Linked DNA regions of Callithrix jacchus. The protein of the gene in region 1 purifies or fractionates together with the protein of each later gene. This does not show direct contact. Links are inferred from orthologs where the notes say so. Each region holds a gene or a part of one and is shown on either strand. Other genes may lie near its edges.

What was found.
Region 2: the proteins of MED19 (region 1) and MED12L purify together in Homo sapiens (affinity purification with mass spectrometry; 3 studies listed by BioGRID and IntAct, counting the BioPlex papers as one, with this or other methods). This does not show direct contact. The link is inferred for Callithrix jacchus from reciprocal best matches to the Homo sapiens genes MED19 and MED12L.

The regions. Positions count from the first base shown.
Region 1 is NC_133511.1:115,288,716-115,294,486, reverse strand, and holds the start of MED19 (mediator of RNA polymerase II transcription subunit 19), read left to right. Parts: upstream 1-1,908; 5' UTR 1,909-1,941; coding exon 1,942-2,158; intron 2,159-5,771. Other genes in the region: TMX2 (thioredoxin-related transmembrane protein 2), read right to left, coding at 1,318-1,506. UniProt on the Homo sapiens protein: Component of the Mediator complex, a coactivator involved in the regulated transcription of nearly all RNA polymerase II-dependent genes.
Region 2 is NC_133518.1:34,088,626-34,093,910, forward strand, and holds part of MED12L (mediator of RNA polymerase II transcription subunit 12-like protein), read right to left. Parts: intron 3,747-5,285; coding exon 3,577-3,746; intron 1,238-3,576; coding exon 1,127-1,237; intron 93-1,126; coding exon 1-92. UniProt on the Homo sapiens protein: May be a component of the Mediator complex, a coactivator involved in the regulated transcription of nearly all RNA polymerase II-dependent genes.

The sequences.
Region 1 (5,771 bases):
AGACACAACAATTTAACTGGACTGGCCAAATGAGAGACTGGTTTAATGGGATCTCTTGCCAATCAATTACTAGCCTGATTTCTCTCTCCAAAGACACCAACTCAGCTTATAGTGAAACTTCTAAGGAAGTTTCAAATAAAGAAGACCAGGGACTCACACCTTAAAATATAGCATCCTATATGTTAATTATTTTAAATTAAAGGCCCTTGGATACCAGCAGATACTGGAAACAGCTTTACTCTGATAACTACCTTATCTGCCTAAAGTCCAGACCTGTCAAAGAAGACAACAATTACTTCTACGTTTTCATTAATTTAACTCATAGTACCGGAAGAAAGATTGAAACCTGTTAACACACCTGGACAGACTTTTGTTAGAAACCATCGTCTGCTCTGCAGGCTCAACAGTAGTTGTCCCAGCCCACTGAATCACCCTAAAAATCATTTACCATCCACCTTAAAATCACCCACATTTCCCCATCTCCCATATTCCTAAGAAGAAGGGCATATAACCATCTGTACCCCATTGGGTCATTCTCCTACAATTCCCTCATGCTATGCACGTTAAAATAAAATATCTTTTGAAGTGCCCTTTGTCGGTTGATTTTTTGAACAAACCCTCAGAGAGCAAGGGGAAGTTTCTCCTTGCCCCCCACGTGCTATATGGCAGAGGGCGAAGCGCTTTAAGTTAATGTTCTGAGCGGTCCCTCCACCCCTACCGAGGAAACACAGCAAGGAGCTTGGGACGGATTTTTTACGACGTATTTTTTTTTTACAATTCCTTTACAATCGCCCCAAAATTTTATCCACTTTCACATCCTCACGATCCAGCAGAGTGCCTAGAGTGTACACTCTAGAAATGTTTACTGAATTAAGAAACGGCTGACAGTGTGTGCAGCTAGTGTGGCCAGAAGAGCAGTTTCAAGTCCCAGGCACTCATTAGTTGTGTGATCTGGGGCAAGTCGCCTAAATATACCGAGATCCATTTCTTCACCAATGAAACAAGAACATTACTACTTCCCTTGTCTACCTACTGGCTCCTCAGGAGGCTTTACTTAATGAGCGGCACTGTAAAACGCTGTACACGTCTATGTAGAGTTTTCATAGGGCTGTTGATTAGTGTGAATGGTGAAATGGAAAGAAACCTGGACTCCGCAGTCAGAAGCTGTTGGGCCGCTCGCTGACTTGATGATGGTCCGGACCCTGTACTTAATAGTTTGTAAGTCCGCTACAGGCTCGGAACCTCAAGTGTCCTCAGAAAGGGAAAGCCCAGGGTTCCCAGTCAAGGTCGCGGGGTACTAAGACGCGGGACGCTCACCCAGTCAAAGTCACACGGGTTGCCGTCTTCGCGTTGGGTAGGCAGACCGTTGCAGAGCGGCGGCAGTTTCCTCACGAGTAGGAAGGCAGCAGAGAGCAGGGCCGACAGAAGGTAGTAAGGTTGGGCCAGCCATCGTGAAAGTCGCGGCACAGAATACACCAGAGCAATTAGAGGTGCCAGGATCGCCATCTTTTTGGCCGTTAGGGCCGGGGCTCATTGGCGTTGTAGGTCTGGCCCCGCCTCCCTCACCATAGAGACTGCTATTGGGCCGTATCTCAAATGTACCGCCTCTAAATCCGGATGTAGCTCTCTGGACGCTGTGGTAGGTCAGAACCCAAATAAGAATTTAACATATTATTGGTTAGTCTAGTTGTCGCTTTATCCACCTAAGTCATTTTATTGGACTGTAGCAAACGAAGCTAGCAGAAGAATCTAATAAGGTTAAATAGCACTTTCTAAACGTTCTCATAAGGCGACGGAAGTAGTTGCTGAAACAAGGTAAGCGGTGCCTGAGGCATCCAATGACAAGAGGCTCCTTGAGAAAGAGGGCGGTACCCTTAAAAGCATTGTCCAATGAAAATTACCAACGCCAGACATCTAGGCAGCGCCGAGGCGGAGGGGACGATGGAGAATTTCACGGCACTGTTCGGGGCTCAGGCTGACCCACCACCGCCCCCAACCGCACTCGGCTTCGGACCAGGAAAGCCTCCACCCCCGCCACCACCTCCTCCAGGCGGGGGTCCCGGCACGGCCCCGCCTCCCACCGCAGCCACGGCCCCTCCCGGCGCGGACAAGTCAGGAGCTGGCTGTGGCCCTTTCTACCTAATGAGGGAACTGCCAGGTGAGTACACGGCCTTGCCAAAGCCAGCCAATCAAATCTTAGAGAGGAGGTGATGGGCGTGGTTCTCAGCCGGCTAGCGGAGGTGCCAGGTAACCTAAGAAAGACAGACTCGGACTGTGGAGCCATAAGTCGGAAGCGCTGTTAGGATTCACAAGCAGAGGGATGACTTGAATTCAACCAAACGGCGGGGGAGAGGGACGGTGAATCTCCGTGACACTGGTTTATGTCTCCCTAAAAAAATGATCCAGGACTGGGCGCGGTGACTGATGCCTGTAATCCCAGCACTCTGGGAGGCGGAGGCGGGCGAATCACCTAAGGTCAGGAGTTCGAGACCAGCCTAGTCAACATGATGAAACCCCCCCTCTCTACTAAAAATACAAAAATTAGCCGGGCATGGTTGCGTATACGTTTAATCCCAGCTACTCAGGTGGCTCAGGCGGGAGAATCGCTTTGAACCCGGGAGGCGGAGGTTGCGGTGAGCCTAGATTGCTCCACTGCACTCCAGCCTGGGCGACAGAACGAGACTCCCTCTCAAAAACAAAAGATCCAGGAGATCCAGGGTTTCAGTTAGGAACTTGAGAGGCCTGATTTAATATCTTTGGGGACCCAAAGTTTTAATTTTGCTGTTGGTTTGGGGCAAGTTGCCATTATTCCTTCTAAGGTTCCGGCGTTTCCTGGTCTGTTCTAAGAAGGGATAAGAATCAAACCAAACTCTTTTCATTCAAAAATTAATTTTGTTGAGTTCCTATGTACCAAGCACTTTTGTAAATGCTTGAGATACAGTTATGAACAAGACTGACAAGATGCTTGCTTTTTTTTGGAATGTACATGTCAGTGGAGGAGGCATTGTAAACAAGATTATATCAGAGAGTGATTAATTCTAGGAGGAGAAAACATGATAAAGAATTGAAAGGGGCCAGGCGTGTTGCTCACACCTGTAATCCCAGCGCTTTGGGAGGCCCAGGCAGGAGGATCCTTTGAGTCCAGGAGTTTGAGACCAGCCTGGGCAACATGTCGAGACCCAGTCTCTACAAAACATACAAGAATAGCCAGGCACGGCAGTCCGTGCCTATAGCCCCAGCTATTGGGGAGGCTAAGGGAGGAGATTCTCTTGAACTCAGGAGGTTTCGGCTGCAGTGAACCAAGATAGTGCCACTGCACTCCAGCCTGGGCAACAGATGAGACCATCTCTCAAAAGAAAAAAATGTTGAGGGCAGAACTACTTTAGTTAGAGTGACCAGAGATGCTCTTTCCATGTAGCTAACATTTGAACTAAAATATAAGCATAGACAAAGGGCCAGCTATGGATGGATAGGAGGGAGAGATAATACTAGATACAAGTAATGAGGTCAGAAACCCTGATGTGAGAAAACGCTTAGAATATCTGAGGGACAGAAAATCAGTTGGACTCCAGTGAAGTGAACGAAAGGAAAGAGTCTTAGGAGAGAGAGACAAAAGGAAAGGTGGGAGAGTTAGGCAGAGGCCTTTATAAAGTAATAAAGGCATTTAGATGGCAAATACCAAAGGAAGCCGTTTAAAAAAAAATTTATAGAGGCAAAGTCTCACTGTGTCACCCAGGCTGGACTGCAGTGGCATAATCATAGCTCACTGTGACCTCGAATTCCTGGGCTCATGCTGTCCTCCCAGCTCAGCCTCCCAGGTAGCTAGGGCGACAGGCATGTGCCACCATGGTTGGCTAACTTAAAATTTTTCTGTAGAGATAGGGTCTTACTGTATTGTCCAAGCTGGTCTTGAACTCCTGGCCAACAGCAGTCCTCCTGCCTTGCCCTTCCAAAGTGCTGGGATTATAGACGTGAGCCACTGTGCCCAGCCAAGGAAAGCCATTTTAACACAGGAACTTGGTCAGATTTACTTATTTATAATCATTCAAGCAGCCACATGACAAATAGAAAGTGGGGAAGTCAGAGGTTACCACTCATAGTCCAGGAAAGATGATGGTTCAAACCAGGGCATAGCAGGGCATAGAGAAGTAAATGGATACAGGATGTTAGAGGTAGAGCTGATGGGGATGAAAAGTTGAATATAGGGCCAGGCGCTGTGGCTCATGCCAGTAATCCCAACACTTTGGGAGGCCGAGGTGGGAGAATATCTTGAGCCCGAAAGTTTGAGACAAGCCTGGGAAACATAATGAGACACATCTCTACAAAAAATAAATATAATTTAGCTAGGCATAGTGATGTGTGCCTGTAGTCTCAGCTACTTAGGCGGCTGAGGTGATAGAATTACTTGAGCCCAGGAAGTTGAGGCTGCAGTGAGCCGTGACTGCACCACTGCACTCCAGCCTGGATAATAGGGGAAGAAGTGAAGGAGAGAGTAAAGTGAAGGAATGATGTCTTCTTAAGTTTTCACCTTGAATAATTAGGTGTATGGGTATGGAGACTTGGAAGATGAGGAAGGAACAAGTTTGAAGAGGTGGAAATCAAGTTTTCTGGACATGTTAGGTCTCCAAGATGCCTTTCATTATCTCAAGTCTTATTTCCACATCATGACTTGAGGGAAATAATAACAAATATTGGTATGGTACTCTGAAGTTCACAACACCCTTATATGTAGTAGTATTTAATAGTTAGAATACCCCTTTGAAGTAGGCATTATTATCTATATTTTATAATTGGAAAAACAAATAGAGAAGTTGCCATCCCTTTGATTAGTCAGTGGTTGATGGCCACCAGCAGTTTCTTTTAATCTTTCTTTTGCCTTCCCTATTCTGATTGTAACTATTTATATAATAGCTATAGTCAGTCAACAGATACTGAATATCTGTTCTGGGCAAATGCTGGGTGTATGAGAAGGGTGAGAAGGAGGAAGAGATTAGTAATGCTGGTCATTGCTTTTCAAGTTTAGTTCGGAATGTAAGATTTGTGGTTTAAGGATAGTGACTATATTTCTTATCAACTCCATCTCATTATTCTGTGCTCATGCCTCACAACAGCAATTAACAATATCTTAGCCATCCATATTAAGAACTACCTCATGTTTTTCAGTGTATTGTTATCCAAAATGACAGCAAGAATAAGATGTCACTTGACCTAGACCTTGAATAATTCATGTTGGTGAAGAAAAATTAGGAAGAATTTTCCTAAAAGGAAATAATGTGAAGGGTGTTATTTTGAAGAGATAGGGAGATCCATTTGGATGGATCAGAAATTTTGCATAGAGGAATAGTGATTGATGAGGCCCCCCAAAGCTAAGTTGGAGTAGATGTAATTAGCCTTGAGTGCCAGTCAGAGGAATTTGAGCTTTCTCCTGAGGACGAAAGGAAACCATTAAGATTTGTGACCTGAGGAGTACTGCTTTCCAAAAATATCTGGAACATGTGGTGCCATAGATTGAAATAGAGAAGCCATGAGTCATGTGGGCAAGATTTGGAATTTTTTTTGTTGTTAAGATGGAGTCTCCCTCTGTTGCTCAGGCTGGAGTGCAGTGGTGCAATCTCAGCTCACTGCAATGTCCGCCTCCTAGATTCAAGCAGTTCTTCTGCTTCAGCCTCCTGGTGTGCCACACCTGACTAGTTTTTTTGTATTTTTAGTAGAGACGGCGTTTCACCATATTGGCTAGGCTGGTCTCAAACTCCTGACCTCGTGATCCACCC
Region 2 (5,285 bases), on another chromosome or scaffold:
GGGCTATCACTCAGCAGCAAGGAAAGACGCCGGGCACAAAAGTAGGCAAGACGACGAGACAGGTAGGCCGACTGAACAAACTCATCTGAATACTGAGAAGTAGAAGGACACCAGACTTCAGTCATGTCTTATGCGTCTTGGTTAAATAACTATTTTAACATAGACTTTCTTTCATTTAAAAAAGAAAAAAAACTTCAAAGATATAAAGCAAGTGCTGTCCAATAGAAATAGAATGTGAGCCACAGGTGTAATTTTAAAGTTTCTAGGGGCCATGAAAAAAATAAGAAACAGGCAAAAAGTAGAAGATTAATGTATTTTATTTAGCCCAATATATCCAAAATGTTATCATTTCAACCAGTAATCAACATAAAAAGTACAACTGTTATACACTTTCTCATACTAAGTCTGAAATCTGGTGTGCATTTTACACTTAGAGCACACATCAATTTGGACTGGTCACATTTCAAGAGCTCAATAGCCACATCTGGCTAGTGGCCATTGTAATGGACAGTGCAGGTACAGACTATTTCAAGGGAGAGACACAGGACCCTGTGGTGTAGTCTGTGGGGAGGGTATGAGAGTGAAAGGGAGAACTGCTGCTCATTGGATATTCTTTCACTTTGCTTAAATTATAAAATATATGTATCACTTAAGAAATTTTTTAAAATAAATCTCACCCAGATACTTCAAATATAAGCACGTCTTAGACCAATCATCAAAACAAAAAGTTTCCTCCCCAAGAATCTCAAAGACTTGTCAAAAGAATGTAGAACATCCTTTATCTTCGAAAGGGATAATTTGTTTTGTTTTCACAGAAATCTGTGTTATTACAGGGAGACAGTATTTTAAAAGTTGGTTGCTTTGCTCAGTGATGGGAGAAATCAATGTGAGTAAAATTACTTAAAACTTGGGACACATGGATAAAAACTACAAACATGGTTAATACAAATGATGGATAAAACTTATTAGAAGCCTTTATCACCTCATATTTTGTAGCATCAAAGACATTTTTTCCTTCCATTTCAAAGGATTTTTTTTCCTTTTCCTCCTCCACTTACCTAATCATTCTTATCAGACTCATTTCTTGCTCATAAAACCAACTGCCTCAAGGGGACATGTACTATACCTGCAGCATTAGTGGTAACAAAAGTTTAAGAAGATCATCATCCATTGGTCTGATTTTTTCTAAAACATCCAGGATCCATGTCAAATATTCATGTTTTTCTAGCATTCCTTCCTTAAATGAACAAAGAAAAATTACATTAATAACGTTAAAGACGAAAAAGCACTGTCATTCTTATGCTTAAGTCAAATTTTACTACTTTTTTGCTGCTGTTAAACAGTCTCAATGAACACAGTCCAAATTCTAAACAAATCAAAGAACTAATCTGTTGTGTATAGTTTTTTTGTTTTTTAGTAATCTGCTCAAAATTGAGAAAAATTAATTCCAACAACAGCAACAACAACAACAAACTTCAGAGGCTTTCACACCCACAGGGTGTGTCAAGCTCCTGGCTAGATTTTGGGGGAGTATGAACTCATGCTCATAGAAGGAAACTTGGATTTCAGTGACAATTAAAAAGAAGATAAGCACTGATCACACCATCATTTTAACAAAAGTTTGAAAACCCCATCAGATCCAATGCCCCACAATAGCTTCTTTCACTATCCTAAAATTAGTGTCAGATACTATCACCTATCTATAAAATATAACCTTAAACATCAATATGATGACCTAATACCAGAAATGAAAGGAGCTATGATAAAATCACGTATAAGCCATTTCAACACAACTACAATAAAAAAACAATAATACCCCCAAGAATTTCTAAAATGTGCCACAGGGGTGACACAGCTCCTAGTGAGACCACTAATCTTGATATAAGCACTACAAGCATCTTTTGTCTATTGCCTTCAAATACATATACACATATATATAGACATACACAGTATGACATTCTATGCATACATAGATTTAATATCCTATTACAGTTTTATATTATAATTCACAGAATGAAAGAATCTTTGAGACAGAAATCTGGGAAAGACACATACTTTTATGGTCATTCTGGTAACAAACTTAGTAGGTCATACGAAATTTGACTTTGTTCCTAGCAACTGTTAGGTATCCAGTGTCCCACTGTAATGGTTATTAAGGAGTCATGGGAAAATATTACACTGATAAATTATAGCTCAGAGTATTTCAAGGTCTACAATGAGGCCACACTGACATGACATCAAGGTATACTTCCTGCTAATTTCTAATTTTTTTCAATGTTTAGAGTCAAGAACAGTTAAAAAGTCACAAAAAAGCACAATTTAAAAGTTTAGTAGCAGGAAAGTGAGTTCTAAAATAATAAATATAGGTACAGTTTTTATTTGTCAATTTAAAGTTAATTTAAATGTTTTTTTAAAAAGAGACGAAACAGAATTTTCCATTAAGGTATAAGAGATGGTAACTTCAAGATTCAAAAAAAAAAAAAGGATCTTCATAAACAATAGTCCATCCTGTAGACGCTTTGTTTATATACCCATGCCCTTGTTTCTGCATATATTTGTCTTCATGTGTATGAATTAGGGTCTGTTTCACATTTCAGAATATGGCAAATTGAAATATAACGAACTTTTAAAACTTAACATTACTATTTCAATTATATTCATTCCTTCAGGACCTAACTGCTTTCAATACTCCTAATATGTAATTCTTCCAAAAATATTAAGCATGCTGAGAGACACTTTTTCCAAGATGCAGACTAAATTCTGAGCTCAGTAAAAGTCATAAAAGCTCAGGGCAGTCACTGAAGTAGTCCCTCTTCTAAATGGAACTAGGATTTGTTTTTACTGACTTAAAAACTAACAACATTACATCTCAAAAAGACCTTATTTTATCCTATGTTGAGCTCTTAGAAGAGCCTGAAAATTTTAATAAAGGTTCCAAAGGGAAAACTTAGAAACCACATGTCCCCTCCCTCTTTAATCAAGACAACAGTTACTAAAATCTCTGCTAATAAGAAGACATGAACTGAATTCATCTCTCCTATTTTACAGCCCAAGCTCCCTCTTGAGGTCAACATTATGTACATCCGTTTGTCTGGGTGAGAGTCAGTCATTCCTCCACGCCCCTACCAGCCCCATCCCCCTGACCCGCCATGCGACCCATTGTGCATTTTCAGCTGCAGTTGAATTAAGACAACCTTTCTCTGCAACAACTTGGGTCTAAAGGAGGTCTGCTACCACAGAAGGTATCAGCACAAAGATGTTTTTGAATAAATATATTCAATCTTGCAAAATAAAAGGTTTAGAAGGATTATATTTAATAGTCCAATTACAAAGTAATTAATAGCACTCAAAGAGTTGACATGATTGAAAGCTGGAGATCAATATGTATAATGAGCTGTCATCCCAGGGCAGATGTGTTACCCTGAATACAATTCAACGTGAGAAATGTCAGACTGCTTTCTTTGAACATATTGGTTGGTATAAAAATACGATTTAACCCCAGAATACCAAACTATAAGAAACTTGCTCTCTTCTTAAAAGCATGGCACACAATTTTGCATGTCTTCGAAAGGTTACCTGGAACATGTGAAATGCTAGCTTTTCGTTGTATTCCCACTGCTTCATGGCTTGCTCCACCTCTGGTGGCACAGGGACAGGGCCATCACCAGAGCTGGAGGCCATGTGGTAAAAGTCAGAAATCTTAGCCAACTGCTCTCGAAGATATCTGGTAGATATCTGTGTCCACTCTGCATTTAAAAAAGAAGAAAAACATGAGTTTCTAGACACATGGGTTTAAGAATTACACTTTTTCTTCCCCTTTCTGATTATCTCGAGGGTGTATTGACAAAACAAACATCTGCTCCCTAAAAATGGTTTGTGCCTGTACAAGCAGTGCTCAGAAAAGGATGCCCACCCCAACGTCCCTCCAGAATGCATGCTAGTGTGAGGTGGCCTGCCGTGTGGCAGCTCTACCCTTGCCCTTCCATGACTCTTAACCTAGGAGAATAGATGTTTACTCTCAAATGAGGTCCACCTGGTGATCCTCCTGGTTAAACATCAGTTAGTATACCAAAAAAAAAAAGGAGGGGGGCAAAGCAGGACAGAATGGTGAAGGGGAAACCTGAAGGAATCTCAAATTCTACAGCAAAAGAATTCAAAAGCCCCCAAAAGCAGCTCTCTTAGGGTCCATTTTTCAGGCTCCATGTTGGATTTCAAATATGCCTAATTAAGATTTGTTTTGTTTTTGTCAGTTTTTAAGAGGACAGACATTCTTTCACTGCAGCTGGACCATGAAAGCATTCCAACCCGCATTGCCCCAGGATGTGTCAGGAACACCGGCAAGGCTTCCCTCCTGGCAATCATCTGGACCTTCAATTATTCTACCCTCCTCAGCCAACACCAAGTGCCCCAAAACTCGGGGAGGGTGAAGTCAGAAATGGTGGGGAGCAACAAACAGTAGGATACTGGAAAGGAAACAACCAAAGTAGCATCAGAAAAAGCAAAAATCACTAAAATTATTCAAAAATGTCTGCCATAGGGGCACAAATTATATCAGTGTGTTGCCTCTGGCAACCAAGAGGGATGTGATGCCAACTTTAGCCCATTCTGTGGATAAAAATGTAATAATTGCATGCTCACAGCCAAATTTCCCCAAGGATTAGCAAACAGCGTTTCAGAAGAAATCACCCTACTGAAACATTACCACACAATGCTGTTTTCCAATTATTTGGCAGTAAGTTCTCCCACCTTTTATTTTGACAAAAAAAAGAGTAGAAACTAAACCTCTGTTAATCATTGAGTGCTTTGTTTTTATTTTAAATATTTAAAATTATTTAACAGAACACAGAGATAACTACTGTTAAGTTTTCATCTAAACCACTTATTTTAATTGTGTCTTATTTAAAATTAAAATTTAAATGCACGCTGGAGTTGTTAAACTTCGGTAACAAGCCAGTGCCCAAAGATGAACAGATACTAGGTCGACATTCTGTTCCCAGTTTAATAGGTTTTCCGAAAGCACCAATAACAGATCACAAAGTTAGTCCACGGGCATTAAAAACAGTGCACTATCTATGTCATCAAGTTCTTCTGCCCTGTTATGGACTAACAGTCTCATGACACTCCCTTGTTCAACAAAACAAAATACCAACCATCAGATGAGACAAGTTTAGCTTAGCTATAATAAGCAAAAACAAAAATAACAAGGATCCAAATCCTAGCTTTTGTATGCCAAGCCTTGCTATTAACTCACTCTCAATATGGTACTATTCTCAATATCCCCACTG